3 linked regions of the Danio rerio genome follow. The protein of the gene in region 3 interacts with the protein of the main gene of each other region in a biochemical or structural test. Links are inferred from orthologs where the notes say so. Each region holds a gene or a part of one and is shown on either strand. Other genes may lie near its edges.

Region 1 (10,210 bases), on a different chromosome or scaffold from region 3:
TTCGGTTGCACAATTTTGATTGGGCAGAAAGAAGGTGTGCTCACTCAAATAATATTTTATATCGCAGCCTTTTGCGATTAACTAATCACAACGTTTCAAATCGCGATTCGATTTCGATTAATCACACAGTTTTTTTTATGAATGTTTGTTATAGTTACACAAATTAAATAAAAAAATTAACTGCATTGGTCTGGCCCTCTAAAACTGCCTAATCTAATGTGGCCCCTTGGCAAATTTAACTGCCCACCTCTTTGTTATGGGAAGAGTTGTAAGAAAAAGCACTAAATCAAGGTATACCTACTATGCTTTAAACCATTTTTTCCCAAGAGCACATGTACCATTATGAATAAAACTTAAACCCCTTTTCTCTTCCCCAGCTCATCACTCACCAACCCAAAATACTATAAATTCTGAGTGTGCCTCATACAGTGTGGGCTTAACAAACCACCTGTAGAAACACACACACACACTCTCTCTCAAAAAAGACTTACTAAATTCTCTGAGCACAAACAAGTTACTTTGTATTGCCTCTTCTTGTTGAATCGCTGAATGCCTCCTCAATTGTAAGTCGTTTTGGACAAAAGTGTCTGCTAAATTAATGTAAATGTAATGCTTATGTTGTACAAGGAACACATGGATTATGATCAAAATCATAGCTGCCATCCATATCCTTATCCTATTCGCATGTTAATATTAGGTGTAAAAAGGGATAAACTCTGTCATTGTTTACTCGCCCTTCTCTTGTTTAAAACATATTTTTTTTTTTTCTTATGTTAAACAAAAAAGTTGATATTTTGAAGAATGCTTGTTGTAGCTGGTATCTACTGACTTCCATGGCGATTTTCACCCTGCTATTTGTTTAACAGAAGAAAGAAACTCATAAGTTTTAAACCACATGAGGGAGAATAAATGATGATATAATTGTCATTTTTGAGTGAACTGTCCCTCTAAATGTAAAAACAATTGTAAAATAAATAACTTCATAAGTAGTTTTTCAAGATCTCTTATATAACTTATAAAGTAAATCTGAAACATCAACTTATTTTAATAAGTTTAAGTAACAGTATATTTTGTACAACATACTTTTTTTAGCCTGCAAGTTCTCTCATGCAGCTTTTATATCATAAATCAGTATCTGCCATTTTATTGACAGATTTACACTTAAAACATCTTACAGTGAATTTTGCATGTGTGGGCTGAAGGGACACATTGCCAAAGAGCATTCATTTCAAATTCCTTTTCAGGGTATTTGGCTTCTGCGATGATGCCACCTCTGTCGCAAGAGTTTGTGGTTCTGATTGACATTTATGAAAGGTTAAATGGTTTACGGAGAAAGTAAATATGAAATTGAATAGCTCAATTCAGAACTTCATCGGTCCTTTGAAAGACAGTGAAACATGAAACGAACACTGTGAATGGTCCACCTGCTCTCAAAACAAAAGAAAAAGAGAAAATTCTCCAGAATACAGTTTAGTTGTTGAGTATATGAGCATGTTTCGCATTTTCAAGCGGTTCTGTATCTTAGTATTTCAGTGTTAAATACATCTATCAATAAACACCACTGTTCAAAAATATGGGGTTAGTATGATGTTATATTTAGCAATTAAAATCATCATAAGTGACATTTACACAGAAAAAATTTCCATTTAAAATAAACGCTGTTCTTTCTGTACACCCAGGAAACCAAGGCTGCACAATATATCATTTGAACAGCGATATTGCAATGTCTGGATGCACAATAGTCACATCGCAAGATTAGATTATTTCCACAACATTCTGACACTCGATGACACTCGAATACCCTGTCAGTAATGTCTTGAGGCTGGGAATGAGCTTTTTTACAGTGTCTGTTATAATGTTAATGTTGTTTTTGTGTGTTTACATAGATCAATATAGCCACAGTGTAAATGCACAGTACAGTTACGATCTTATTGCCACATTATATCATTATGATAACATGATATATGCCTTCAGTGATTTTCTGAAGATAAATACCAAAAAATAACACAACTGTAATAACTACAGCAGTCGCCATCATCAAACTCATATTTAGTACGACATATGATGACGTGTGCAGGTGCTGTAGTGCTGTTCCATTTCTTGGGGGTACACTTCGAAGCCCTTCCCCTTCACACTCTGTTTCAAGGGGAAGAGGGGTACAACAATAGAATTAGGATTGGGCCTAAGTACATTGTATTTATATTTTAATGTGCTAAGTATATGTTTAAAGTGGGACAGATTATTGAATATATTTAAAACTGCCAATGCTTAACTATTTAAAGGTTCAGGACACCCTGGATAATTTTTTCTTTTTTATTAACAGATTTGTGTGAGTTGAGCATCAGTTAAGACAATGTTAGCATCTGTCAGCTTTAATTGTGGGGAAAACTGGATAATTTTGAGCTTTTGTCAGCTAATTTCAGCTTCCGGGTTTAAAATGATTTTTAGGGCGGGATCAAAATTGGCGATGTAGCGCAGTACTGCAAGTGCATTGATGACGTGTCAGTTTCTCATTATTATTCAAAGCGGAGTTTTCTTATCCTATGAGAAGAGCCGGCTCCTTAATTATTCATGAGCACGTACTTTCCGAAGGCAAGGCAGACTCAGACGCAGACCTGCCAGACCAGTGCCAAGTTCAAGCTGTGAGACACGGACCCACGGCACGCAGTAGCCGTTTATGAAGGCTCGTATGTGTTTGTTCCCATGATCCATGGGGTTTGTTGCATGTTTTTCCCCGGGATCCTGTCAGGGCCGATCATACAGCAAAGCTGTGTGTGTGATGCAAGCATTTTTGTCGGGAGAGCAGCACGAGAATTGGAGAATGGCGGATGTTGTCTTGTATCAGGTGTTCATTCACATTCAGACACATCGCCGTGCTGCTGTGTTTGCCTAAATCCTCCAGATTACCAGCAGGACTAATGGTTAAAATAGATAGGTCAGGAGACCTGCTCCACTGAGTCTGCATTTAGATCTATGATTCAGACCCAGGGATTGAGGGAGAAGTCCTCATTTATAGTGTGTACATGAACACGATTATCTTTATAATGATATAAATTGTGGTTATGTGTATATGAAATTACGAATAACAAATGTAGCAGGGCATTAAATTACTGTTTATTTCTTTGCATTTTAACTTTGAAAACTATAAACTCATGCGTCTCCTCACGGTTTGTCTCATTTTGTGAGCTAGCTTCATTCGCTCACGTTCTCCCCTGCTGGTCACGCCCACTCCTGCCCGATGCTCGCGGAGCTCCACGCCCATTACATTTACATTTACATTACATTTAGTCATTTAGCAGACGCTTTTATCCAAAGCGACTTACAAATGAGGACAAGGAAGCAATTTACACAACTAAGAGCAACAATGAATAAGTACTAAAGGCAAGTTTCAGGTCTGTAAAGTCTAAGAAGGGAAGTATTAGTAGTATTAGTTTTTTTTTTTTTGTACAGTTAGTGTGATATTCAAAGAGGCAATTGCAGATTAGGAAGTGAAGTGGAGACTAAATAGTTGAGTCTAATCATGCATCTTTTGAAAAAATTCTGAAGTAGACTTTAACCAAAAGTGGGGGGTGTCATGGCCCTTTAAGTATTTAAATTCTGTTATTTGAACTGTAAAGTTGTGTTAAAACCATTGTAAACAGCAATTCAGTATGACTAACTGTACTTTAGAATTTCCCTTTTAACTCCCTTTATAATGGTATTACTGTTAACACAAATTTGTGTCAAACTGATTTTCTCTGGCATTCGACAGCACGCCACAGATGCTGTTTGTAGAGCTCGTTTTTTTTTCTGAACCCGGAACATTTTTCTAACATCACACATGATAAAAATATTGTTTACGGCTCCAGACAGCTTTAGTTACATAACAGAAAGAAGCATGATTACAGAGTGCATATCAGACAGCATGGCAAGACTGTGAAATTATTCTCACAGTAGTACTTGTTTCCTTTCGCTCCTGCTGTTTGGAAAGGGGAAGGTTTGTCAAACCTTTTTCTCCGACTGTCTTTTGGTTGTTTAGGATGCTATTTGTGTGTGACGCTGTGTGTGTCCTCCGCAAAATGAAGCGCTTGTTTAAAACTTAATGTACATAGTATTAAATATAGATGACACTTTATTTGCAGTTAAAAAGGTCACCGAGGCGAAAATTGCCTTGTTGCTCGAACATTTGCCAGCTCAGGCAGTTTGAATAGTCAAGTCTAAATAAAGCATAAAAACATGCTGTTAAATTAATATATAATCACTCATTTAGACTCAAAGCTGCGCCTACTCAGTTTAAAACAGCAAAGAGCAAAAGTAGTACTTAAGTTCACATTCATTCAATGATTTTTTTTCTCAGCATGGTCTCGGATTACAGACTTTTACAGTGGCAGATTTGTCCCCAGATCCATCAGGCTCATTTTACAGCTAATGCGTTTGAAATAAAGATCCTCAAATAAAGCTTTAATGTGGTATCACGCCCCATTTTTACTTCAGATGGATCGTTTTAAGCCTCCTTTTGATTCACTATTTCGTGCATTAAAAGTCACAGCAGCAAACTTGAGTATAATCTTGAATCTAATAGCATTGAATCGTTCTAATGTCCGGGTTTTGAGTGCAAATGTACTGTGCTCCGACGGTCCTCTCTTGCAAAAAGAGGACTGGATCAGATTGCTAGTTAATTGCCGTCTTTGTACTGCTGGAACAGTAGATGTACTATTTGTACAGGCTTTCCCTGTGGTGACACCCCATGGTGCAATGGGTGTGATGCCAGCACTGCACTGTTTAGCGGCTCTGGGCTACAGCACAGGTCCAGATGTGGCCTTGTGTTGATAGATAGCGTTTTTTTTAGGCCTCAGTTTAGCGCTAATGGAAATTGATTATGACTTAATGAGAACTTTTGGCAGGTGATACCAAATCAGACCCTGATGTTCACTGTGAATCTGGGTTAAAAGGCTCTCTACTTTCATGTTTTGCTCAGTGATGTTTACTAGCCATGTTTTGACGTCTGTCCCAGTTAAAAGTCAGCACCGTTGCTCATCTGGATGTCATTTACTGATGTTACTGACACAACTGGTCGAAACCAAACACAGAGCTGAAACGCTGTTTATCCTAAAAATGCGGTAACACAAGTGGTAAATACTGTAAGGACACACAGTGTAATCAGTAAATCGGGATACGCTGGGCCAAAAAAAGCGTATTCTATGGAATTAAATTGTCTGTTTTAATTTAGTGCTGTTAAACGACTAATGGAAAGTCGTTTACAAAATAAACTATTGCGTTTACGAATTTTTTTGTGTATTGTATGGTATGCATGTGTGTATGTTAGAGCTGCACGATTCTGGATAAAATGAGAATTACGTTTTTTTTTTTTTTTTTTGCCTAAAATAAAGATCACGATTTTCTCACGATTCTGTAGATGTAAAATAAAGGTTAATATGAGTGGGCTATTATTATTGTTGTTGTTCTTAAACATGTGGTAAAACAGCAATAAGCTTTGTGTAGTTGTACTGTTGGTTAAAACATTTTAACTTGAACAGACTTTAGATTTGTCCTGGTCACTAATGCTGATGATAATTTTGTTGTTGAATTTTTGTGTTATTGTGTCAATCTGTAATTTTTTGCTTAAAATTTGTCACTGACGTGATTTTCGTGAATACAGAGGACTGGACAAGGGTATTTTTGCATTTTGGCAGGTTTTGGATACTTTTTGGGCTGGAATCGGTCAGCTACATCTGGCAACACTGTGTGCGCTTTCGGTTTCATTTCACCTTTTATTTACAGTCTATGCAGGTTCTGTTCACTAAAGTAGACTTCATTCAGCGCGCGCACGCCCTCTCTGTGATAACAGCTGACGGTCAGCTTGCGTGTGATTTTGTGGTCGCAAGTACATTACATGAAGACAGAAATGACATTTTTGGGGTAAATTGTATCTTATAAATACAGTATGTGACTCTTTTAACACCATTTGGAGGTGTCCAAGTTGCTGATCAACATATGTAAAACAATGTGAAGACTTGTGCGGCCACTTTTGCTTCTCTCCTGAACTTGAAAATACAATTGACAGAAATGCTGGATTAAGATCGTCTAGGGGGTCGAATCGAGATCGCGACCCTTTTACGATTTATTGTGCAGCTCTAATATATATACATACATACATACATACATACATACATACATACATACATACATACATACATACATACATACATACATGCATGCATACAGTTAAAGTCAGAATTATTAGTCCCCTTTGAATTTTTTTTTATCTTTTTTAAATATTTACCAAATGATGTTTAACAGAGTAAGAACATTTTCACAGTGTGTCTGATTAAGAAAAAGTGAATAAACGTGTCTTGTTTGTTTGTAAAAAGTATGTAACATGCTGATATGAAAAAGTCTGACAGTAAAGCTTAATGTATCACATCATATCATATCGTAAACACTGAAATGTACCAAAAAGTACTGAAATCATCTATGTACTTTCTCCCGCAGGTAAAAGATGAGAAGAAAATTCAGGAGGTGGTGGATCTCACAGACTACGAGAAGTCTGAGGAGCTACGTAAGGCCAAAAGCAGGAGCAAAAAGAACCACAGCAAGTTCACGCTTCTGCGTTCACGGCAGCCAGGCAACACGGTCAGTCTCTACAGGACACCGGGATAACGCTTAATGGCTTTACGCTCCAGTCAGCACTACAGCACTGCTGGGAGGCTTCATTAGTCAGTTTGCAGTCATGCTGTTAGACACTGATGACCTGTTGCACAACTCAGAGATCTGTCTGTTCATACACATTCACACACTTTGGACAAAAAACTACATTAAAAAAGAGGAGCTTATTGGCTATAGGACTGCACAATATATTAATAAACAATCGCAATAACAGTATATGCAATACCATATCACAGGGAAGTGCCTTAAATTAAATAGTTGGGTGTAATGCGTTCCACAGTAATGCGTTTCTGTATTCTAATTACATTTTTGGGGAATGCAGTAATGTACCGAATTACATTGTAAATTTGTGTAATTTGATTTCAGTTACTAAAGTCAATGTAATTGCGTTATGTTAAAAATAGAGTTTTTAGAAGAAAAAATGCTTCTTTTAGATAATGTTTTTCGCTGTAGTTAGTGAGCAAGTGCTTTTAAATTGCTAAGGATCGCAAGCTAAAATAGTTGCTGGTCAGAGTGGTTGCTTCTTCAAGTGGAAATACAGACATAACTTTGATTTCAATAAGCGTAAAAACAAAAATATTGCTGTGAAAGGCAGTCTTGTCCAGTCTCTCAAGAACTTTCCACTGCTTTTAACTCGACTAGCAACTTGTTCGAGCACTTGAACAGAAAGCATTGTAACCAAGGAGGACACAGCACCCAAAAACACAGCGGCTCGACTCAGCCTAAACAGGCTAAATTGGATTTTTGCGCAGGATTGTGAATGAAGATACCTTTTGAATGTGAAGAGAAGCATAGTTGCTTATGGAGTCGTTCAAGTATCACGTCATTATTGTGCACAAGCTTATTTCCAATGGAGGCGCGGTTTGCATACATATACATATTGGGAGAGCATATTGCGCATGCTCTCATTTTCCAGGCACATCAGTTGAAACCCTGAGTCACTTCACAAGAACTGTCCGATCAGTTTCATGCTTTGTATGGAATATACACATTTCGGTAGACTAATTACTGTCGAAGTCTGAATTATTGTTTTACTTTGATAGTCATTGGCGGCTAATATAATTTCCCTGCAAAGAAACTGTTTTCTAAAATTATATTACTAAGAAGAAAGTCTGAATGTGTCAATATAAAACCGTCTTCACCCCAATGCAATATTTTATCCAGTTAGTGTATGACGGTTGGTATAATCAGGCGGCACTCTTCATCGCAGTGAGCGTTTGTATGGGCGAGGATGTCAGTTTCCAGAAAAGAAAAGTAGGCAGGAAATTAAGAGTTTTCAAAGATGATTAGACAGAGACGTATGAGTTCATTTCGCTCTAATCTAGCACAAAACTGCTCTGTTTTATTTCTATTTCTTTATATGAGATGTATAGCATCTTTACACGCCAAAGTGGAACATAAATCAAAGTTAAAGCGGCTTAAATTTGCAAAAAATTTATATTTACTGTACACTAACCGTTAAAAGCATCTTTACACTGAATTTTGAGCAGACACAGACCCGCTTTAGGGCTGCCTTAAATCAGCCGCGTTAAGAAGACTTTAGACTGCTCTATATATTGGCACCATGTTACTTTTAAGAAAATAAAAAAATTATACATTGACACTTGTCATTTAGCCACTATTATTAATGTATGTTCAGGGCTCGAATTTAACTTTTTTACTTGGTAGCACCGGTGCTCCCAACTTCAAATATTTAGGAGCACCAAAATAAATTTAGGAGCACCAGAAAAAAATTAGGAGCACCCACCAAAAATGATTGAGCACCGCTGCAAATTGCTTTTTAAGGGATTTATTGTATTTTAAAACAACATCAATAGGACTGACAAAAACCAGAAACAACTATCTAACTAATGCTGCGAAGACATTGATATTTGTGTGCAATAATTCCAAAATGAATGTCTAATAATTATAGAATATTAATGATGATGAAAATGACAATAATAGTAAAAATGAATTACATTTCTCATTATGATACTGCCTTGAATGTGCATGAATGTAGGTTATCTGCCATAAAAAGTCTGTTACTTTATGAAAAATAATTGTATAGTTTGCATCAAACAAAAATGAAGCATTGCCTTAAGAAATATGTATTTTGTACTGCTGTATTTATATGCATGTCAATTTAATAAATAATATTTCTGCTACAAAACAAACAAAAGATTATAATAAATCATTCAATTCAATGATGAAAGCTGCAAAGCAGTCATCAGTAAATAAATAAAAAATAAAATTAATATACACCTCAAAAAAGAATAGACAAAAGAAAGAAAGTAAAGTCTCACTTCTATCACTCTTTAAAAGTTTTGGTTTCAGTTTGTGTCAATTTAAAGGTTCAGTCTGAGATGATCTTCATTTTTCTGTGTTAGTGGAAAAGCAGGCGAGTCAGTCGACCCAATTTATGAGCAGGCAGCGCAAGATTCTTGCGATGACCACCGGCGGAATACCGCTGTTTGTTATGAGACGCAGTTTCAGTGTAAACTTAGAAAAGGCGGGGTTCTTTGGCGATGGTATTAGATTAGACTTTTAGCGGACATTTGCGCTGAACACGCAGTGAATGCAACGCATGGAGATTCGGGCGCCTTCTCCAAGAAGCGCGTACTCGATTGATCTCAGCTGGCGGATCATTATTCACCACGTGACGTGTCATGATCGCTCTCATCTGCACCTCAATTTTAGGTGGGGTTTGCAAACCTGTGTGCTTTAAGTTTTTACTCTTCTGCCGTTTGCATTTCCCCGTGGTCATAAAAGCTCCTTCCCTGTCATCTGACAGCGAAATACCTTGAGTGATTGACAGCTAATGTGAACCAATATAGCGGCAGGGAAGAGCGATTCAGCACGTTTTTACAAAAAATCAAAACAGGTCGCACTACAACCATTATCTGCAGTCGCACTAATGCGCCCAAATATATTATGAGGTCGCATAGATTAATTTTCGGGCGCATATGCGACCAAACTGGTCGCAATTTCGAGCCCTGATGTTTATTCAATGGAAAATGTGTTAAACTTTTTTAATGGTTGATTTTTGTATGTGCATGTTTATTAAATTCAAGTTTTGTAATAACCAATTATTACTGTGCTTTGACATTGATGCTAATTCAAATTTGAAATTTTGAATTGAAACCTTGATAATCCCTGATAACAGCAGTAAACAAACTGCTTCATTAAACCGATGATTCAAGAGTCACACCTGTTTGCAAATATAGACTTGTGTGAACAAATACACTAAGGCTCGAGTCTAAAACACATTGATCATAGACAACATTAGACAATAAATTGTACTCTGGCATAGTTGGCACACCAGTTTCCAAGCACAAACTTGGATCGACCTCTGTAGTCCTCCTATCCTGTGTAATTGGCTTTCAGTAAGAACAGCTCAGCTTATTGCTTTCACTAGCACACCAATATCCTTCCTTAGACCAACACAAATAGTACATCTAACCAAGGCTCCTTGTTTCTTAAAGGTGAAGTGTAATGTTTTTGGATATTATATAATTAAAATCAATATATTATTTGAAGGTTTAATTTAATTCTGCCTCCTCACAATACTGTTAGCCATTACAATCTA
Region 2 (10,210 bases), about 2.9 Mb from region 3:
CATGACCAGCAAATAATCAGCGAGAACCAGCACATAACCAGCAAAGAACCAGCATGTGACAAGTAAAAATTCTAAATATGAACAGAAAGAGCAGCACATGACAAGCAAAGAACCAGCACTTTAACCAGCAAAGATCCAACATATGACAAGCAATGCACTAGCAAGAACCAACACATAACCAGCACTTTAATCAACAAAGAATGAGCAAGAACCAGCACATGACATCCAAAGAACCAGCAAATAATCAGCAAAGAACCAGCACATAACCATCAAAGCATCAAAAGAACAATATCGAGGTAAAATTCTTTTTTATATATCCACATTCAATCATTTTAACGGTCCCTATATTGTATTGGTCCCACATTACTTTGAATAATCGGTCTGAAATTTCAAGTAATTATGACTTCAAAACAATATACTTGACTGAACAGTCTTGAACTTTGATAGTTAGTGACTGCTTCTATGATATCACTATATAGAATTTGCAAACAATACATACTCAATAAGATCCAGCCAGCTCAATAAGAATTCAACCAGCAAATGACCAAAGCCAGCAAGAATCAGCAATTAAGGTAAACTTGTTTTTATATTCACATATTCATACATTCTCTTTAATAATACAATTTCAGAAAATTATTCTTTGCAAATTCTGAATAGTGAACTCATATTAGCAGATTATCAAAGTAAAGTCAATTAAAAAGTGTAAATGTTGTTTTAAAGTCATATGTACACGTGATTTCAGACCGAATATTCAAAGTACCATGGTAAACATTATGGGGAGCAAGTCACTAAACAAATGTGCGAATATAAAAGCAACTTTACCTCAGGGAATCAGCACACGACCAGAACAGAATCTAAAAGCCAGCAGGTCCAGCATAAGTACCAGCATATGATCAGCAACAAACAGCACTTAAATCAGCATATGACCAGCAAAGAACCAGAATAAGATCAGCAAAACAGATTACCAGTTTATAACTATCAAGAACCAGAAAGAACCAGTAACGTTAGCCATGAAAGTTGATGAAACCTACCTAAGCATCTGCTGTTCTTTCTGCAGGAATCCAACCTATCATTCAATTTACCAGACTGTGCTCCACATCTCCACCCTTTTGATAAGGCTCCACGACAAAAAGTGGATGAGGGAAACACTTGACCTCTCGCTGTTGACCATAGACTGTAAAAAGATGGACGTCTCATCACTTTCTTCCACTGTTGAAAATAGTTACAAAAATGTCACAGTCAAATAAATTACCTGAAATTCCGGAAAGCATACATTTTTTGAAGAAAAAAAGTGCAATTTACGTTTAGTCTGGCTGACACCACGTTTATTTTCATGAGTGGTGTTTATGTCATGCATTGATCCACCAGGGGGCACTCGACATGCTTTGGCCTTATGGATGCGTCCCAATTCGCATAAGTTACTTATACTACGCCCTAACAATGTGTATCTTTTTGTGAAGGAAACGTATACTTTTAGAGTATGTAAGAGAGTATGCAAGCTTTGGGACATACTTATTTCGTTACGTTGTTACGAGCCCTGTAATCCACACATCATCCATTTCTTTCATATCTACTACTGGAGATGCAGCAGCAGGTTAATCTGCCATTCACAACTCTTTCATGCAGAGAAATCTCCTCAGGTCTTTGGATAATTATGCCACAAGGTAATGTCCAAACACGTTCAGATCACGTCACGTTGTTGTTGCAGATATATAACACGGAAAATGTGATTTAAATATTTTCCAGTGGGCTATTAACAGTAAAAAAAAAAAAATCATTACTGAAGCCTACTAGGTCCATCATGTTTGTACTTTAAATTGTACTTTTCACTCGTTCTATTCGAAGTCACGTCTAACGCGCAATGTATTGTGGGCAATATCAGCGGGACGGTTCAAAAATTGTACTGAAAATAGTCAACCATAGGTGTCATACTCAGAGGGCCACCCTGCACTGTTTAGCTCCAACCCCAATTATACACACCTAATCCAACCAAATTGAGTGCTTTAGGCTTCTTTAAAACCTAGATTGGAGTGTTGAAGGGCTGGAGCTAAACGGCAGAGCTACGGCCCGCCAGGAGATAAGTTTGACACCCCTGTAGTTAAACCATCCGGGAACCTTTGGCATACTCCGAGCATATACAAACTCGGTGCTGGAGGGCCGATATCCGGCAAAGTTTTGTTTCAACTCCAATCTGACAAACCTGGGCTAGCTAATCAAGCTCTTACTAGGCTTTCTAGAAACATCCATGCAGGTTTGTTGAGGCAAGCTAAAATCTGCATATCTGCAGAACCAAGGCATATCTGCCTGATCACAGAACCAAGTTTGGACACCCCTGGCACAATCTTTTCAACATACTATGATTTGGGATAATTCTTATTTTAAATACTCTTTAGGATAGTTAGTATGCGAATTGTGACGCAGTGTGTAGTTTTCTGGCCATACAAAACAAATGCTGCAAGATTGTGACGTCACTGCAGCTAGCATTTACACCCACCTCAATTAACTCCGTATTAAAACATATAAAGCAGCATATGACTAATATTAAGCATATAAATACATACCTATTGAATCATATCTATACCATTAGAAGACTATGTCGTTCCTGCCTGATCACAGAGAAATGTGAGGTCATTTCCAAAATGATGCCGACAAATGAGAATTTCTAGTTATGACTAATTATTTTGCATTAGATAAATGTGCAATATTATATTAATATCCAATAAGAAATGTTCAAGAATACTAATATCTTCACCTAGATCAGTAGCAAAATAAACAGAGAGCTGTCTCAAGCTAACAACTACAGTATAACTGGATGCCACTGTACAACAAATGGCAATAAACCTGATTTTGGGAAAGCCTTCTTTAAGCCACAGGTGTCAAACTCAGTTTCTGGAGGGTCGCAGCTTTGCAGTTTAGTTCCAACCCTAATCAAACACACTTGATCAAACTAATTCAGTCCTTCAGGCTTGTTTGAAACCTACAGGTAAGTTTGTTGGAACTAAAATGTGCAGGCTTGCGGCCCTCTAGGAAGTTTAACACCACTGCATTCAACAAAGAGCATATAATCACTATCAATCTAGACCAGGGGTGCCCGAACTCGGTCCTGGAGGGTCGGTGTCCTGCAGATTTTAGCTTCAGCCACAATGGGCTATATGCACTGTGGCACCAGACGCATTTCCAGTAAAATGTAAAAGTACTGTGCTACTACAGAAACGCTATAGATCAAAATAACTAACGCTTTGGAGAGTTGCCTTAATGTTTCATGCCATTATAGCACACTTATATGTTTACGTCAGCCACATGAATATGATATCTAAACTTAAATTTTAAAGTGTCATTACAAAGACGTGAGAACAGTACTTCTAGCTACAACTGCCGTGTTTAGCAACATACAGCCTCAGAGAAATTTAACTCTTGAGTTTCCACACATTTCCAAAAGACAAAGTCATGCAGAAAAGTTGGGTTGTTAATTTTCGACATTAGAATTTTACAGTAACAGAAAAGACAAGAGTGAGTAGCTGCACATTTCCAGTCTAGCGACCTGATCGAGTGCCAACAGGATGCAGACATTTGAAAGGAGCTTTTATAGCAAATGATTTATTTTCATGTTTATTTTCATTGCCTGTAAAGTGAAAAAGAACTGAACATTAACGTACATACCATTTCTTAAGCTACTTTATAATTGCACCATTACTTTATTCACTGTACATAATAAAAACATTATTCAGTGTATGTAATAAACACACCTGAACCAGTTAATCAAGCTCTGTCTAGGTATACTAGAAACTTCCAGGCAGGTGTGTTGAGGCAAGTTGGAGCTAAACTAAGCCGGACACTGCCTCTCCAGGATCGAGTTTGGGCACTCAAGTCATTTGCTTTAAATAACGATTTAGTCATAATTGATCAAAGAAATTAATTATTTGACTCATGGTGCCATCTTGTGGTGTGACTGACTGGAACGCAAAATTAGGTTATGTGGGAAATATTAACTTGGATTTTCCCACTTCCGACTTCAAATCAGATGGTGCAAGGGTTCCATCAGTTTTAAGCACATACGCAATGCAATCACTGACGTACATTAGAGTCAACAAGGGTATCAAGGCATAAGTTTCCAACAAGAGAATAAGGCAGAAGTCTTTATTTATTGCTAGCTCTATTAATGATTTCTTTTCTCAATCCAAACTAAATCTCTTGTACTGCAGATCAAAGACTTTCCCAATCATGTATTTTAAATGATCTCTCATAATTCAGTGTTTATGTGGAGCCTCAGCCGTCGGCTGCATGAGATCTTGGCAAAACCCATCATGAAACAGTTGCTAGGAAACAAGAGCGCCATCATCTGTTAGTCTTTATTTTTTAAAGGCTTTCTAAACTTAAATTGCTGGAGAGAAAGTCAAAAAGTCATACATGAATAAACTAAAACACACTCAAACACGTCATTTATATTTCGAGAAAGGAACAAGATGACTCGAGGAAAGAACAGGATGACTCCAGATGTATTTCATTACATGTCTTTATTGTCCAAAGTACCATAAAATGATAACTGTACAACTCGGCACACTTAAGCAGAACCAGGGCACTAAATCTCCAAATCGGGTTGCTGGTTGTAGTTGAAGACACATTTAAAAAAAAAAAAAAAAAAAATGTACATATTTACATAGAAAGACTTAAAGTGTGTTGATGCTCTTCGCATAGGAAACTAACGAAAACAAAACAAATTAGGACACTTTAAAACATAATGCGAGTCCCTGGTACTGGACACACGGAGTGAGGAGAGCAGACAGTGGATCAGAGATGAGAGAATGGTCAGAAAGGCACTCTGTGACGTCTATGTACAGGTCATTCATCGTTCAGTGAGAGGAGCTCACGTTCAGGCTATTCACAGTAGTTACATCCCAGTTGACAATTACACCGTAATCAAAAACACACATATGAGAAATGTTCCATAGTTTGCATCAAGTACCCATATTGTTCAAGTTGATGAAGAACTAAATTTAAACAGAAGGGGGAGGGGCTAAAAAACATGACAAACATTGATAACGGCAACTTAAAATCCACTTAACATTGAGAATTTCAAATTTAAAAACTAGCTTTAACATGGGATGCCAGAACAACGACGACAAAATAAAAATAAAAGCATTCTAACGTTACAGCACCACATCTGGCTCAATCTCGCCAGGCCTTCCCTAGCATTTATCTCAGTGTTTCGTTACAACACAGCCTGAAAACTCTAAAAAGGAGCTTGGTTTTTGCTGCCGAAACAACGCAAACGGGTTTTTAGTCGACTCCTGTGATAGATTGTTCTCTTTGGTGTTTCGTGATCTCAACAAGGCAGATCACGGTAGGCTAAAAACTACGTTTTAAAACAATTCATTCTCGCCAGGCACCACAATTAGCCGTGTTAAGCTAAAAGGCTACAATTCTTTATTTGTTTCCTGTTCTGTAATACATTAAGGTAAGTGTAAACATGATCCTTATATTGTCCAATGGCACTCGATAGATGATGGACCCCTCTCTTCCACAAGGCTCAAACATTTCCTGCTCCTAAACAGGCAGATCTCACGCACGCAAGCACCTGGAAAGAGACCTTGGAGATAAAACTACAGACCTACCATTGTTCCACTCGACAATCTGGAGATAAATGTCAGCGCACTCAAAGGGGAGGAATAATTATGCACTACGCGTGTCGTGACATCACTCAAACACAATGTGAAGGCATCGTCGTATAGCTTCTCCTTTGACATCAATGCATAATGCAGTGGAAAGTGCGGCGTTTGACTGACTCCTCCCTCTCTCGTGCGGACTTGATGGGAGTTAAAAGCACTTGGTAAAGCGTGGGTTATGATTCCTGCTCCTCCATAACCACAGGCTTTTGAAAACTTACCACCGTTTTGGGGGTCAGGTTGATGCCGCAGCTTTGATATGGGTGAACCGATTTCTCTTTTAGTTTTTTTTGTCCTTTTTTTTCACTTTTAAATATTTAAATAGATATAAAACTTTCTCTTTTTCCTTTTAAACAGACAGTTCTGTACACATCTGGTACCAGTACATATAAAATTACAAGAGTTGTTAAATTAGAAAGGATATGTTCCTTCTGAATACGTCATATCAAAAATATGCAGCTTTAGTAAACATATTCATAGTACTTTTTTTTCTAGGCTAACTTTACATTGCTACAGTTTTCAGAGTTAGAAATATAGCAAAAGTGAGAGGACGCTGCCTCCAGCTTGCGTCTCTCTGTGAGTGAGTGAGTGAGTCCGAGGGCTATCGGTGCCCAACGCAGTGATCTCGAGCACTTCTGTTGAGCGGAGGTTGAAGCCTCGGAGTAAATAGTGTACTTTCCACAGCCTTCTTCCTCGTTTCCGCACCTCTGGCTCTCCAGCACGTCCACGTTCGCTGTACCAAACTCAGCACCTGCTCACTGCAGCTCCATTCTGTCATCCTCCACAGCCCGAGTTCCTCTCCTCTAGCCTCCGTCCCGGCCTCAGTCGACCTTCTCCACTTTTCCGATGATCTTCTCCTCGAAGATGGGCAGGATGGCGTCATCTTCGCGTACCTCCTCGAACACCACTCCGCAGTCAAACTCATAGCTTACTTTCTTGAAATAATACCTGGGGAAATAGAGATAAACAATGAAAAAGGTCAGTCAAAAACAAAACATACTACAGCAATTACAGTGCATCCGGAAAGTATTCATAGCGCTTCACTTTTTCCACATTTATGTTACAGCCTTATTCCAAATGGATTAAATTAATTTATTTCCTCAAGATTCTACACACAATACCTCATAATGACAATGAGAAACAAGATTATTACATTTATTAAAAATAAAAAAGCTGAAAAATCACATGTATATAAGTATTCACAGTCTTTGATCAATATTTTGTTGATGCACCTTTGGCAGCAATTACAGCCTCAAGTCTTTTTGAATATGATGCCACGAGCTTGGCACACCTGTCTTTGGGAGTTTTTGACAATTCCTCTTTGCAGTACCTCTCAAGTTCTATCAGGTTGGATGGGAAGTGATGGTGTACAGCCATTTTCAGATCTCTCCAGAGATGTTCAATAGGATTCAGATCTGGGCTCTGGCTGGTGATGAGCAGTGCCTGGTTTTCTCCAAACGTAATGCCTAGCATTTACTCCATAGAGTTCAATTTTAGTCTCATCAGACCCAAGAATTTTTTTTCTTTTGGTCGGAGAGTCCTTCAGATGCCTTTTGGCAAATTCCAGGCGAGAAATGGCCATACAGGCCTGATGGATTGCTGCACAGATGGTTGTCCTTCTGTAAAGTTCTCTTCTCTCCACAGAAGAACGCTGGAGCTTAGACAGAGTGAGCATCAGGTTATTGATCACCTCCCGGACTAAGGCCCTTCTCCCCCGATCACTCAGGTTAGATGGCCGGCCAGCTATAGGAAGAGTCCTGGTGGTTTCAAACATCTTCCACTTACAGATGATAGACGCCCACTGTGCTCATAGGAACTTTCAGAGAAGCAGAAATGTTTCTGTAACCTTCCCCAGCCTTGTGCCTCGAGACAATTCCTTTGTCTTCATGCTTGGTTTGTGCTTTGACATGCACCGTCAACCCTGGGTCCTTATATAGACAGGTGCATGCCTTCTCAAATTATGTCCAATCAACTGAATTTACCACAGGTGAACTCCAATTAAGCTGCTGAAATATCTCAAGAATGATCACTGGAAACAGAATGTACCAAAAGCTCAAAACCAAGAGCTCAATTTAGAGCTTCATGGCAAAGACTGTGAATACTGACATATATGTGGTTTTTCAGGTTTTTTATTTTTAATAAATTTGCAAAAATTAAAAAAAAATCTTTTTTCACATTGTCGTTATGGGGGATTGTGTGTAGAATTTTAAGCAAATAAATTAAATAAAAATCCATTTTGGAATAAGGCTGTAACATAAAAAGGAAAAAGTGAAGCTCTGGGAATGCTTTCCGCATGCACAGTATTTGAGGCCATTTGATACTGGAAGTTGAGAGTTCATTCAATAATGAAATAATGAAAAATCTAGTATCATCAATATTACAAACACGGTTGTAAAATCCTTTTTTCTGTAAGTTTTGCTTAAGACAATAGCTAATTTCCATCTAAAGCTGCAAATTATAATTGTGCACATAAAACACAATTTTGCACATAATTTTCTAATGACCTGGCAGCAAATATCAAAAAGAAGTCAACGTAGGTCTTTTTTCTTAATAAATTCCTCAAAGATAAAATGCAATGAAAGCACGCCGGCTTTTGGAGGCTCAAGTTTTGAGAAGTAAAATTACTAAACCACTTTGATGCAAATTGTAGCTATTTTATAAATAGAATGTGGTAAGCCTGATGGTTTGTCCATTAACGGTTCCCATCGCACCCATTTTTATAATTGCAAGATCACAAGCCTATATATATATATATATATATATATTAATTTCAGAACTTATTGAAAGGTTTGTTTTGTTTTTTTTAACTTGCAAATTGGTATTGCTGTGTAAATTAATGAAAAAAACAAAAGTTGGCAATGCCCTAATTGCACTTCTGTCATCAAAAAACCCTGTGTTAGTTCCACCAAGCATTAGAGGAGATACTTTTTATGCAATTACATGCAAAAGTGACAGAAAATATTTAGATTTAATAAAGACAGCAAAAGTATATTAAAAGGGTTTTTAAAAACAAAAACTACTCATTACAAACTTTGAGACAATATTGCTTGATGGATTGCTTGAAACATTTAACATATTTTCATATTTATAACTGAATCATTCAATGGCAATGTTTAGGGCTCTATGATTTCTGAAATGAAGACAATGATCAAATTTAAACTGAATTTACCATATAACAGAAAGTTATACAAAGTTATCATCATTTAAAAATAATAACTTGTCCTTGCATTTTTCCAATTGTTTACATGGGTTTCAATTTCGCTACACATGCTTACATTTTGGTAATCATATTTTAAACATAAAAAATAGATCCAAAATTAAAAGGATTAAAAAAAAAAGAAAGAAAAATAAAACTGACTTCATAGCATACATTTTATTAGTTATTTAATAAATAATATTTTATTATAATATTTATATAATTACTATTTATATATTATAATTAATAATATTTTTATTTGAAGTTATTACTCATTTACTGTCACATAGTAAACCTTTATATTTAGTGGAAATCTTCAGCAGCATTACTCTATTTTACATTTTCCAAGCAGTTAATTCTCCATCATTTCATTCTTTTTTCTGTTTCACAAAAGCTGTTTGTAGCATGTTAAATGTGAATATTGGACAAAATCAATAGGAGAATGAACTCAATAACCCACTCATGCAAAGAACATTAAAAAAGTGCATTTACTTGTAGCTCCCTTTCTTAGTGAGCAGCTCCTTGAACTGTCCAAGCGTGACGATCCTCCCCTTGACGGACGTCCTGTATGGGATGGGTTCACCGCAGAAATAATAGGCTACGGTGATGTTCTCACAGGGCTGCTTCTTCATATTCTTATGCCTGCAAAACAAACCAAAAAGCACTTGAAAAAGCCACCAAAGCATTCGTTCTGCAATAAAATAGGCCGTAATGGCGCGTTTGATTTTGTAGCGGAAATACAGATGTCCCGTAAGGATGTCTGTATTTAAAAGGCTCTTGTTTGTGTTCTGCTGGGCTTGAAGTGGGCAGGAGTGCTGGTGGGCGGCAGAGGCTTGGTTTACTGATGCCAAGTAAAACGGATTCCAGATGCCTGACAAATGTTCCTCAGAAAAAAAAAGATGAAAAAAAAAAACACTGGCACTGCAGGACCGCTTTCATCTCATCCACACCAAAGCTTTGATGTCACTAAACTGCGTATCTGCATTAGAAGCAGGCACGTCTCCGCAGCTCCAGCTCTCCTCCTGCCGTTAATGCACCAGAACGATACACCTCACTGCAACCAATCTGTCAAGAACTATGTGCAAGAGCTAAGACCAGTCTATCTAAAGTGTACTCTTAAATGCTGTGCACAGGAAGTGAGAATAGCGCTACACACTGAGGGGTTAGTGAGCGACATGGGGGCACTAGTGGTGGATTGATATTTTGTTATGGGAGATGCTAATGATTCAGAAAGCGCGTTCAATAGTGGTTGGTATAAAAATCACTTTTAATATTTATTAATGTAGACGTTTTTAAATTAATGTGGAAAAATATCTGAATACACACACATATATATATATATATATATATA
Region 3 (10,984 bases):
TCTCTCAAAGACATCAGTTTCTCTAATTTGTTGATATTGTGTTCACATTTTGAGACAAATCTGTTATTCTAGCACAACTTTTATTCATTTCTTTTTAACTTTGGATACCTGCAAATCTATATGTGACACCTAAAAATATTAGAATATGGGCACTTAGGATAGTCTATTCAAAAGAAGAGTAATGATGACCAATTTAGGGCGTACTCACACTATGTTATCCGAACCGTGTTTAGGCCTGTTTCACGGATCGTTTGAGAGGTGCGAGTACTCTAAATTGGGCTCAGGCACGGTTCACTTGGCCAGCCCTTGTCCGGTTGGAAGAAGTGTGCCAGAGCGTGGTTCACTTGGGCAATAGCGCGGTACGCTTGTGTGTGAGAGCAAAACGTGCTTGGGGCCAAAACTGAAAGAGAGACGTGACTTTTAACGGACTGTTTGATATGGATTTATCAATCATTCTTACGGTTCAATGGTCGCAAACTGTCGTAGATTATTAAAGACGCAAACCCATCACTGCACGAAAGCTGCACACCTTCAGCAAACCTCCTAATTCCTGCAGCACGTGGACTATGACTGTTTATGAGCGTCAAAAGTGGCTGATCTGTTCGGCTAAATATTTGAAAGCGTGTCACTACATATCAAACAACTTAAACGATATAACTAAAGAAATCTCCACTGTGCTAAGCGAGTGCACTTACTGAACAGCGCAGCGTCGATGACGTAAGCGTGCCCAGGCCCGAATGTAATGTGAGTGCGGGCCTTCGGGGAGACGGGAGAGGGGAAAAACGTGCCTATGCCCGGTTCAAGGCAACTGTACATAGTGTGAGTACACCCTTAGGCCCCGTTTACACTAGTGCGTTTTAGTTTTAAAACGGCGTTGTAGAATGAAAACGATCCGCGTCCACACTCGCGTTTTCCCAGCGTCTCTGAACAGCTCTCCGTCCACACCAAAACGCTGAAAACGCACATCACGTGACCACACACACACTCTCGGGCAAGCGCTCCAGCATTTCTACCCAGATGAGAGCTCTGCTTGTCGGACTGCTCATCACGCATCTCCCGCTGGATCTAATCTCACTATATTTGCTAAACGTGATATTTCATTCATGTTGTTGTCTTTATCTAACGACATAGGCCAATTCCCTGACTTTGGTCATTGGAATCTATTAAGTTACTTGTTCACGGGTAACATGTTTTGGTTAAGCGCAAAGATAAGTTAATGATTAATCCAGGTACATTGACTGATCGCTTGCCTTTATTTCCTACAATGTATAAACTTATTGTATGTTATACTTTTATAATTATCGATTATTAAAACTGATATTTAGCAAAAGAGAGGGTGCGTTTCGTATTTTCACTGAAATTGAAAGGAAACAGTTGTTATAGGCTCCGTTTTGTTATAAATATCCACACAGTGAAGATGACGCCCATATATGCAGCACGACGCCTCAACATTTCTGCTGTCTGTTAAGTTGCTAATATTAAAAAGAAAATAGGCAGTTCCTTAAATCATGTTTACATTTTATTGTTGAGAAAGTGAAACAACATAGCCAAGGTGATGTGAATGGAGTTATAAAGTACACTGTTCCCTTTGAAGATTTACCCGTGTCCTCCGTATGTTTTCCATATCAAACTGAGAAAGGGGAGACTGCAGCCTTGATCAAACTTGCGAAGTCTTAACTTACAAGAAGAGGATGCGAGACTGAACTGTGTGTGGGCTACTTAATATTGAGGAAAAGCCCCAATCAGATAGGCGAACGTTTGCAGCCCCGCCTCCGTTTTCAGATGTCTCCGTTTTTCCCTATCCACACTAAGACGGAGCAGCAGCGTTTTAGAATGAAAACGGCCTCTCCAGCGTTTTCAAAAAGCTCCGTTTTCGGCGCTCGAGAACTCCGGCGTAGTGTGGACGGATGGCGTAACCGTAGCAAAACTTATGCGTTTTAAAACTAAAACGCACTAGTGTAAACGGGGCCTTAATGTCATTTCATGCCTGTGGATTTCTAGAGTCAAAGAAGACATTTTTAAGAAATTTGGTAACGACAACACTCGAGCCCATAGACAATTCTCTTTATACTGACAATTCTTTTATATTTCACAACATAAGAGCGAACACATGAACTGTGTCTTTAATATTTGATCATTAAAGTCTGTAAAATTCCACTTACAATATGATTCCCAAACTTATCAATATCTTTAGGTAACTACTGTTTATAACAAGAATTAGATGCAGTGCTTACCAAAAACCTTTTTTTCTTCCAAATATACCCAATCTGAGAGGAAACAAGAATAAAAGTGAAAAACAATGTGCTCTCCCTCCAAATGCCTAAAGGGAGCACTTTTGCATCTACTGATCGCTATCATACAGATAAAAATCTTGCAAGCTTTCGTAACCTAAATCCTCTGGACTTAAACGCCCTGCGAGTCTAAACAGTGAAGCGGCCATTGAGGAGATTCAACACTCATTGTTTCATGAGACAGACATTCCTTGACCAATTAGAATTCCTTTCATGGGCCCAGGGGGGAGAGAGCAGCACAGCTGGAGGCGCTGGGTTTGTCTGCAGCCCGACAGCTCGCCACCTCTGCTGTGGACATCTCTTCCACAAACAAACTCTCAAGTGGCCACAGAGGAGATGTTGCGAGACACAAACACATCTGTGTAAAGTAAAGCCCCGCTCATTCAGAGCTCTCTTGTTTGTGTGGGAACAAAATGTCTTTATATGGTGTCGTAATCGCTTCCATCAAAGCATTCAGAGTGAAATGTTGGATGTCAAAATAGTTCTTTCAGGAAAAAGAGGGAACATGGATTATGTAGTAAATTATTGTACATCTACATAAAAAGCAAACTAACTCACTTTATAATAAATCAATGGCCATTAATGAAATGATCCACTTCACATTAAAGAAGAAAAACGCTGTTGGGTAATCTTAGTTCATTCAGATTAAAAAATTTTAAATTATATAAATGAATGCATCAAATTAATCGAATAGCATTTTTTTATTTAGTAAGTTGTATTAGGGAATTTTATGGCGCTAGATTATACTTCTGAAATAGTTAGACTCCATTTGTGACCACTTTTTGGGTGTAAAAAAATTTACATTTCAAACTTAAACTGTTATAAATTGTGACCGCTGTGGAGCACGTAAGCTTGGTCACTTTTGGCAGAGAAAAAGTTACAGAATTTTACAATTATTGCTATGAAAAGAGCCGATACGCTCAAAAAAATATGTTTGTTGTTTGTTACGTATTTATAAATTCCGTTTTTTCAAAAGGAGCGGAAACACAATTTTTGAGTTTTTTTGTGGGACAACTTAATTGTTTTATGTTCAATCCACTTAAATGTGAAAACTATAAGTTAAACTTAATTCCTTCATTTTGACCCTACAGAAATTAGTTATGTAGAACCCAGCAGTTTTTACAGCGCATGGCAAAAATATTTCGATATAAGTTGATAATGCTTCCAGATTTGGTACATCTCTAATATCTATACACTTTTAGATTCCCATTGTTGCACATTTCTGCAGTGTGATTGGCTCCGAGATCAATATAGAGTAAAAAAAACTTCCAAGCTTATATTTGTTATTGACATCAATTTTATTGCGATTTGATATAATACCATTTATCGGCCATATCGTTATATGACGATATAAATCATCTTTATGGCATGAAATGTGTATATTAATTTTATTTTATTCTGTGTATACCACCAAATGTAAATAAGTGGGAGTGGCGAACTCACAAGCATTATGCATAAGGCCAAGAAAGACACTACATGGGAGACTGGCAGTGTTGCCAATCGCTTAATTTTTTCAACGAGAACTGATCACTTAGTTTCAGTATTTATCCATGAATTGTAATTGAGGAGTTCAAATGCAAGAACCTAGAAAATGCCATCTGAAATTTTCTTTCAAACTGAGAATTTTTTTCAGGCTCCTGTGTGTAAGTTTAGTAATAAACACATTTATAGCAAATAAGTCATTTTTATGGTCTTTAAAGTAAAATAATTCAACATAAACAAAGGAGGTTGAAAAATAAAAGTTTATTTTTGATGGACATTTCAGACAGCGCATAGAGGTTTTAGCATCTGAACTCTTGAATTGTTTTTATTTTGCATTTTTAAAGGAATAAAAAAAAAACAGTTTGATATTTCCTTAACCTTTTAACCGCCCACCAAGAAAAATATTTTTGGATTGCATTTCTTAACTCGTAATGTCGCTAGTTAAAACACTAAATCAATTTTTTCCCCCATAAACTTACCATAATCCCATAATTTCTACAATATTAACATGTACAAAAATGGTAGAAATGTTAATTTATAGTAAAACTACAGAAATTAATTCATATGCTATGAAAAATATGAAAGTATAAAGTCTAAGACTATTTTATATTTTAAAATATAAAAAAATAAACATTTTTGAATACCACATGAATTTTTTTGATGTATGCCGAAGTGGTGCGACAGGATTTTCTTTTTTTCTTTGTAAACCAACAATGCTGTATTGTGTTAACCATTCTTTAAAACTCTCTTTAAAATGACTTTAACGGTGATTATTTAAAACAGTAAAAAGATGGTCAACCGTGTGGTAGAGCAGGCAGTTATAGGGATAAAGTTTTTTTTTTTTCCATAGGATAGTTTTGTATCAGAAGATGATGTGTGAAATGTTTATAATAATAAGGTCTGTCCACATAAAACTGTGAAAATGTGAGAGTGTAATTCGTTCATTAAAAGTTATATTTGGTTTACAATATTTATAGTAAAGTTAAAATAAAATACAAAAATAATCTAACAAGATTGAGTCATCTTCTTTCCTTAAATATTTAAGCTTAGTTATTTCACAAAGCTTATTTATTGCACACCTTTTAGTAAATTCTCTGGAATAACTACCCTCATAATAAAACTATATCATGAAAGATATCATCTAATGTGAAATAAACTTTCTTCATTTATAATTTATATCTGATGTGGTTATATTTGACTAAAACACCACAAGCATTTGCATTTTAAAAACACTTTCTTATCATGATAATCACATTTTTGCTTGTTTCCTTTTGTTGTGTGTTTGTGTTAATGGTAATGTGCCAAAACGTTTAGTTTTTCATACCATTATGAAGACAAATATGAAAATAAATGACTGAACCGCAGCAGAGCATTAACGTTCATTTCAGCATTTACCAAACTACTGCAAAAGTTGTATATTTTAAAGCTGTCTCTGAGCTAACATTGACAATGAACTGTTGTACTCTGTAAACAAAAGATAAAAACGGTTCAATTCAAGTTTACTTCGTTAATAATTATAATAATAAAGCAGCTTCACAAAGGGTACACATCATTACTACATCCAAAATCAACAAACCACTGTAACAAACACACTGCTCAATATAAATGAAGGGCATTAACATTTACAAATGAAACTTCACTTTTAAAATCTAATATACAAGAATAAAGAATAAAACGTTTAATCTGGTCTCTACTGAGTCTATAATAAAATGCAAACCACATAACCTTGTCATTTGGCGTTTACCAGTCTTCCTATTCCACAAACGCTTTAAAGGGCACTGATAAGTCAACATCAGATCTGGTTTAAAAAAATAAAAAGGCAACTGTAAAAGCACTCCTCCAGGGCACTGTCACTATGTCTGTGATGATATCAATGAGATCAGTATGCATCTATCATATCCTGTTCGTTTCCAAGCAAAGAGCGGTTTCAAAAGAGTAAGGAAAAAAATCCTCCCCCAAAAAACCCATCTGTGGATTGTGAAACAGTACACTATCACATAAAGATCAACCCCATAGTTAGCTTACTTCCGAAAGCAAGCACAGCGCAATAAGCAAAACATTAATGAACAGTCTGTCACGTATTAAAATCTTAATTTACAACGAAGACACTGGCGTCCAGATGAGGGGAAACCGAGAAAACAGCTGCCTCTGCCTCATCCGGTTTATACTCAGCTGATTTATGACTAATCCAACCTAACAAACTGTGCACGGGGAGCTGCTTTCGGCTGATAACGTTCACACAAGTGCAAATAAAGCAGGTCCACTGACTATTGTGCTGTTTATTAAATAAAAAAGGGATGCTTCTCGTGTTAGCATGCGTTTAGCATGAAGAGACAGGGCTGCAGCAACTCGCCTCAGCAGAAGCTAGCAGGATCCTCGCTTAGCGTTTTACACACATTTGCGACCGACACACAGTTATAAGCTAACCAAACGTATAAAATGATAACTAACAACAAATTAGTACATTAAAGCGATAAATTAGCGTATTAGAGGGTGTTTTACCTGTCAGTCGGATTTTGATGCTTGACCCGTTCCTTCGAGTCCCAGGATTCGACATCACTCCCACAAAAAAACCAACGAACTTTCTCTCAGGATAAACCCAAGACGCTCGCTTCACGAGGATATAAAAACGTATAAAAACACGCGACGCGATCGTGTGGCCTGTGCATGTGTTTCTCGGCGATAAAACGGTATTATTTCCGTCTGGCAAATCCCCTGTAGCTTTCAGACTTAACAACACAGGCTAACATTTTTTGAGCTCAACGGCGTTCTGACATCACGTTAGTACAGCTGTACGTGCACGTACCCGCGGCTGGGCGTGCGCGCGCTCTTCTTCCTGGCGCTGGAAGTCCGTTTGTGTTGTGTGATGTAAAAAAGGATATTAGTCATGTGTGTCCTGATTTCGAATTATGCTATGAAATTTCGTGCTTTGCGTGTTTTTCCAGCCACGTCAGCTGAAGTGAATTGATGTATTTTTTAAGTAGACCAAATGTTATTAAGATTAGATAGATCTAAACAACAATAAAAAGGATTTATTAATAAAATAAATACAGGATAGATAGATAGATAGATAGATAGATAGATAGATAGATAGATAGATAGATAGATAGATAGATAGATAGATAGATAGATAGATAGATAGATAGATAGATAGATAGATAGATAGATATGGATGGATGGATAGATAGATAGATAGATAGATAGATAGATAGATAGATAGATAGATAGATAGATAGATAGATAGATAGATAGATAGATAGATAGATAGATAGATAGATAGATAGATAGATAGATAGATAGATAGATAGATAGATGCATGGATGGATGAATAGATGCATGGATGGATGGATAGATGCATAGATGGATGGATGGATGGATGGATGGATGGATGGATGGATGGATGGATGAAAGGATGGATGAAAGGATGGATGGATGGATAAATGTAGAGATAGATAGATAGATAGATAGATAGATAGATAGATAGATAGATAGATAGATAGATAGATAGATAGATAGATAGATAGATAGATAGATAGATAGATAGATAGATAGATAGATAGATGACTGCATGGATCTGGGGCAGATTGATGAATTTGTTTGTCATTTTCGCAGCATCCATAACATTTTAAGTGACCTGATTAGCATTAGAGGTTGTTGTTTTGAGTTTGAGTAATAAATAATGAGATGATGGATGCAGATGATTTCCATTACATTTGCATGATTGTGATTGCATTAATTGCGGCTTGATAATTGTCGCGTTGTAGAAGCAAATAAGGTTAGCCTGAGCAATAGTGGAAGGGATTGGATTGGAGGACTTTAGCAACTGGAAACAATAGAGCCATTTAATAGTGTTGTGCAGAAGAAAAGCCAATCCACGTAAACAGCAGGCTAATGAGGGTGGCAGGCCACACACTGGCCTTTTTCAATCCGTCACCACTTTAATGAGCAGAGAGCCATTGTACTCTTGGCATAATAATGAAATGTATTTGATCTGAAGACTCATTAAAATGGAAACAAATACATATTAATGCAATTAATTAAATCAGTTCATTGTGTGGGATGCAACGTGGCTTAATGAGGTACATCTGAAGATGAAACATTGACATAAATGTAAACATTAGAATGTATTGACTGATCAGTTTAATTATGTAAGGTTTTGACACTTTATTCCTCACATAGATATTGATATGATATTGAATAATAGCTCAGTATGAAATGGTCATTTGACTCTAAGGAAATTACAATAGCTATACTATAATAAATATATTGGTCACTCTTTTATAATATGCACTTAATTCACAATAAATATGTAATGAATATTCAGAAAAATAGCTTCAGGTATTAACTGTGGATGCATTTGTGTGATTTAGTTGCACTAGAAAGTGATTATAGCACTGGCAGTAGTAATTAAATGCCAGAAATGAACTGTGAATCAAATCAGTCATTTAAAACGTCCATCAACAGTCAAAGCAAATGAAAATGTGTATGCTGGAAGCCACTCCAAATGTGAAAAAAAGGCAATCGGATTATGGGAAGACGCGTTGTTGACATAATTAATCAATGGAGATGTTGACGTGGCTCACTTCTGCCATCTCTTGGTCATAACAAGGAAAGAAAGACAGGATTTGATTGGCAGCTAAATTAGTCAAGGGCCTCTGAAACTGAAAGGACAAATATGTTATAGCGAAAAACACTGTGTTTTCTAGTAGCCTAGAAGTGTTGTTTTAATTAAATCTTGAATAAACCCATAAGCACTTTGTAATGTGGTAGGCTTTGAAGGAGAAAACCATGTCTATAATGGGAACTTTTTGGTTTTATTGTTAGTTGATTTATTTTCCTTTGGCTGAGTCCCTTTATTGATCAGTGGTCGCCAGCGGAATGAACCGCCAACTTCAGCATATGTTTTACACAGCAGATGCCCTTACAGCTGCAACCCAGTAGGCCTACTAGGAAATACACACTCATTCACACACAAAAACGGATAATTTAGCTAACCCAATTCACCTGTAGCGCATGTCATTGGACTTGTGGGGGAAACCCATCCCAACACGGGGAGAACATGCAAACTGCACACAGAAATGCCAACTGACCCAGCCGGGACTCGAACCAGCGACCTTCTTGCTGTGAGGCGACAGTGGTTTTAATATACACAGGTAAAAACAATTGTTCACATATTTAAATGATTCTGCTAATTTGTGATTTAGCCGCTGTATAACTATTTGAAAAATCAAGTTTAGCAACCTCAGAATATACAGGCCTACTGGCTGGTTTGAGAAGCTAATTAATGTGTGCGGTACAATGACTGTAAAAAATATGGACGACGCGACAGCCCTTTTTCCCATTGAACGCCTTGAGGGCAAAACGCCTGCTTGACGGGCACAAACTGTCGCAAAAGACTGCTGAAATTGGAGCCAGACATGCGCAGAAGGATTGTCTGATGGAGCCAGAGGAGGAGCCGCGAAAATGAGCAGAGTCGAGCTTCCAACCAAACGCTTTATGTAAAATCAACCACGCCCCCCGAACTTCTCAGCATGCGTTTGCTGTCATATCAACACAAATGGATGTAATAACGTTAACAAATATGAGGGTTTTATAAATTCAATCGCGCCAGCTCCAGGCCGCAGCGCATAACTTACTCGCGGCGTCGCGGGCTGATTCCGGCTCGCATGCGGCAGCGCCTGCTCGCTCGGCCGCCGCATCTGGCTCGATTGACTCGGACTGGAATCGGGCAGTGAGTCCAGGCATCCGGAGTAGGTCCAGCAGAGGTAACATTAGTCAGTCTGAGCTCTAAGAGATATGTCTCCGGCAGGCGAGAATCTAGCCGGAACTGTGTTTTGCTATCTGGGTGGCTAGGCGTGTATCAGCAAACTAATAAAGCCCGAAAAAAGCCCTGAACTTAGCGAATAAACAGTGTTCCACCAGGATCATGTATGTCAGAAACTATAGTTTACTGCTGAACTCATTTTGTCATGGTAAAATAACACAGAAATCGAATAATAACATTTCAGTCTACTTCATTCTCCTGCCGAAGCTCAGACGCCGCGCTTTGAGAAACTGTCAATCACAGCTGTGTATCACGATGACACGCCCAGCATTAAATTACTGCTAAAAACAAACTGTTTACAAAAATGAAGATCTGCACCTATTTCAGCACAATAACCAGTGCCTTAATCGACCAGAACTATCTTTCGGGACATTTTATTGCAAGTGTAATATTTTTTTTTATTTGGGCTCAAGTCTCCTTCATTAACACGGAGGAGGCGGGCTTTATGACTTGTACTGCAGCCAGCCCCCAGGGGGCGATCTAACGGCCGAAACCTTCACTCAAACGTAGGCTTGCGGCACACTTGGTGCGGTAGTCAGAAATAGCTTGTGTGTATCCGGGGAGGAGCATATGTGTTCACAGCTTTGAGTTAGTCTTAATGATCCCCTAATGTGTCCACACATGCTTGAAATGGAATATTCCACCAGGCGCTCACACACTGTGTGTGAGATAATAACACAACATCACAATCAAGACATCACAAACAAAGCTGCTACAATTACAGTGTCCCTATAGATGTACAAGGAACAATAAGCTGATGACAGGAGCAATAAGCAATCATTTGATCCTCCATAGTGTGTGTGTGTGTGTGTGTGTGTGTGTGTGTGTGAACATATAAATGGAGACTAATGAACAATTTGTATTCTGCTGTAATAAGAGAACATTTGTAAAAAAAAAAAAAAAAAAAAAAAAAAATATATATATATATATATATATATATATATAATGTTTTACATTTTAATTTTCCTTCAGCTTAGTCCCTTTATTCATCAGGGTATGAACTGCCAGCTTATCCAGCTTAAGTTTTACACAGTGGATGCTCTCCCAGAACTAGGAAACATCCATAAACATTTACACTGCAGCCCTCTATTAAGAGTTTAACACCCCTGCTTTAAGATATTTGTAAAACAATGTATAGTTAAAATGAAGGCATAAGAATATTTTTATTATAATAATCTGCTTAAGAATTCTATGTGCACATTTTGATCAGTTTAATACAGCCATTTATCAATTTAATACCTCTATTCTGTGTTGAAAACAGTAATGAGCTTACAATAGGGTATATGCTGAAGCATGCTAATAGGACTTTTAATTTGCCCGTAACCTGGTTAACCGCTTCCGGTAAACTGTATGGCAATGCAAAAATCGGTGCGTTTAAGGTCAGTTT

The links.
Region 1: the proteins of smurf1 (region 3) and plekho1b form a complex in vitro, tested with the Homo sapiens proteins (4 studies listed by BioGRID and IntAct). The link is inferred for Danio rerio from reciprocal best matches to the Homo sapiens genes SMURF1 and PLEKHO1.
Region 2: of the proteins of smurf1 (region 3) and axin1, one has a biochemical effect on the other in vitro, tested with the Homo sapiens proteins (2 studies listed by BioGRID, with this or other methods). The link is inferred for Danio rerio from reciprocal best matches to the Homo sapiens genes SMURF1 and AXIN1.

What each region holds. Positions count from the first base shown.
Region 1 is NC_133191.1:42,445,786-42,455,995, reverse strand, and holds part of plekho1b (pleckstrin homology domain-containing family O member 1b), read left to right. Parts: intron 1-6,471; coding exon 6,472-6,612; intron 6,613-10,210. UniProt on the Homo sapiens protein: Plays a role in the regulation of the actin cytoskeleton through its interactions with actin capping protein (CP).
Region 2 is NC_133178.1:42,644,256-42,654,465, forward strand, and holds the end of axin1 (axin-1), read right to left. Parts: intron 9,502-10,210; coding exon 9,352-9,501; intron 6,612-9,351; coding exon 6,485-6,611; 3' UTR 4,498-6,484; downstream 1-4,497. UniProt on the Homo sapiens protein: Component of the beta-catenin destruction complex required for regulating CTNNB1 levels through phosphorylation and ubiquitination, and modulating Wnt-signaling.
Region 3 is NC_133178.1:39,716,460-39,727,443, forward strand, and holds the start of smurf1 (E3 ubiquitin-protein ligase SMURF1), read right to left. Parts: upstream 6,549-10,984; 5' UTR 6,331-6,548; coding exon 6,276-6,330; intron 1-6,275. UniProt on the Homo sapiens protein: E3 ubiquitin-protein ligase that acts as a negative regulator of BMP signaling pathway. Mediates ubiquitination and degradation of SMAD1 and SMAD5, 2 receptor-regulated SMADs specific for the BMP pathway.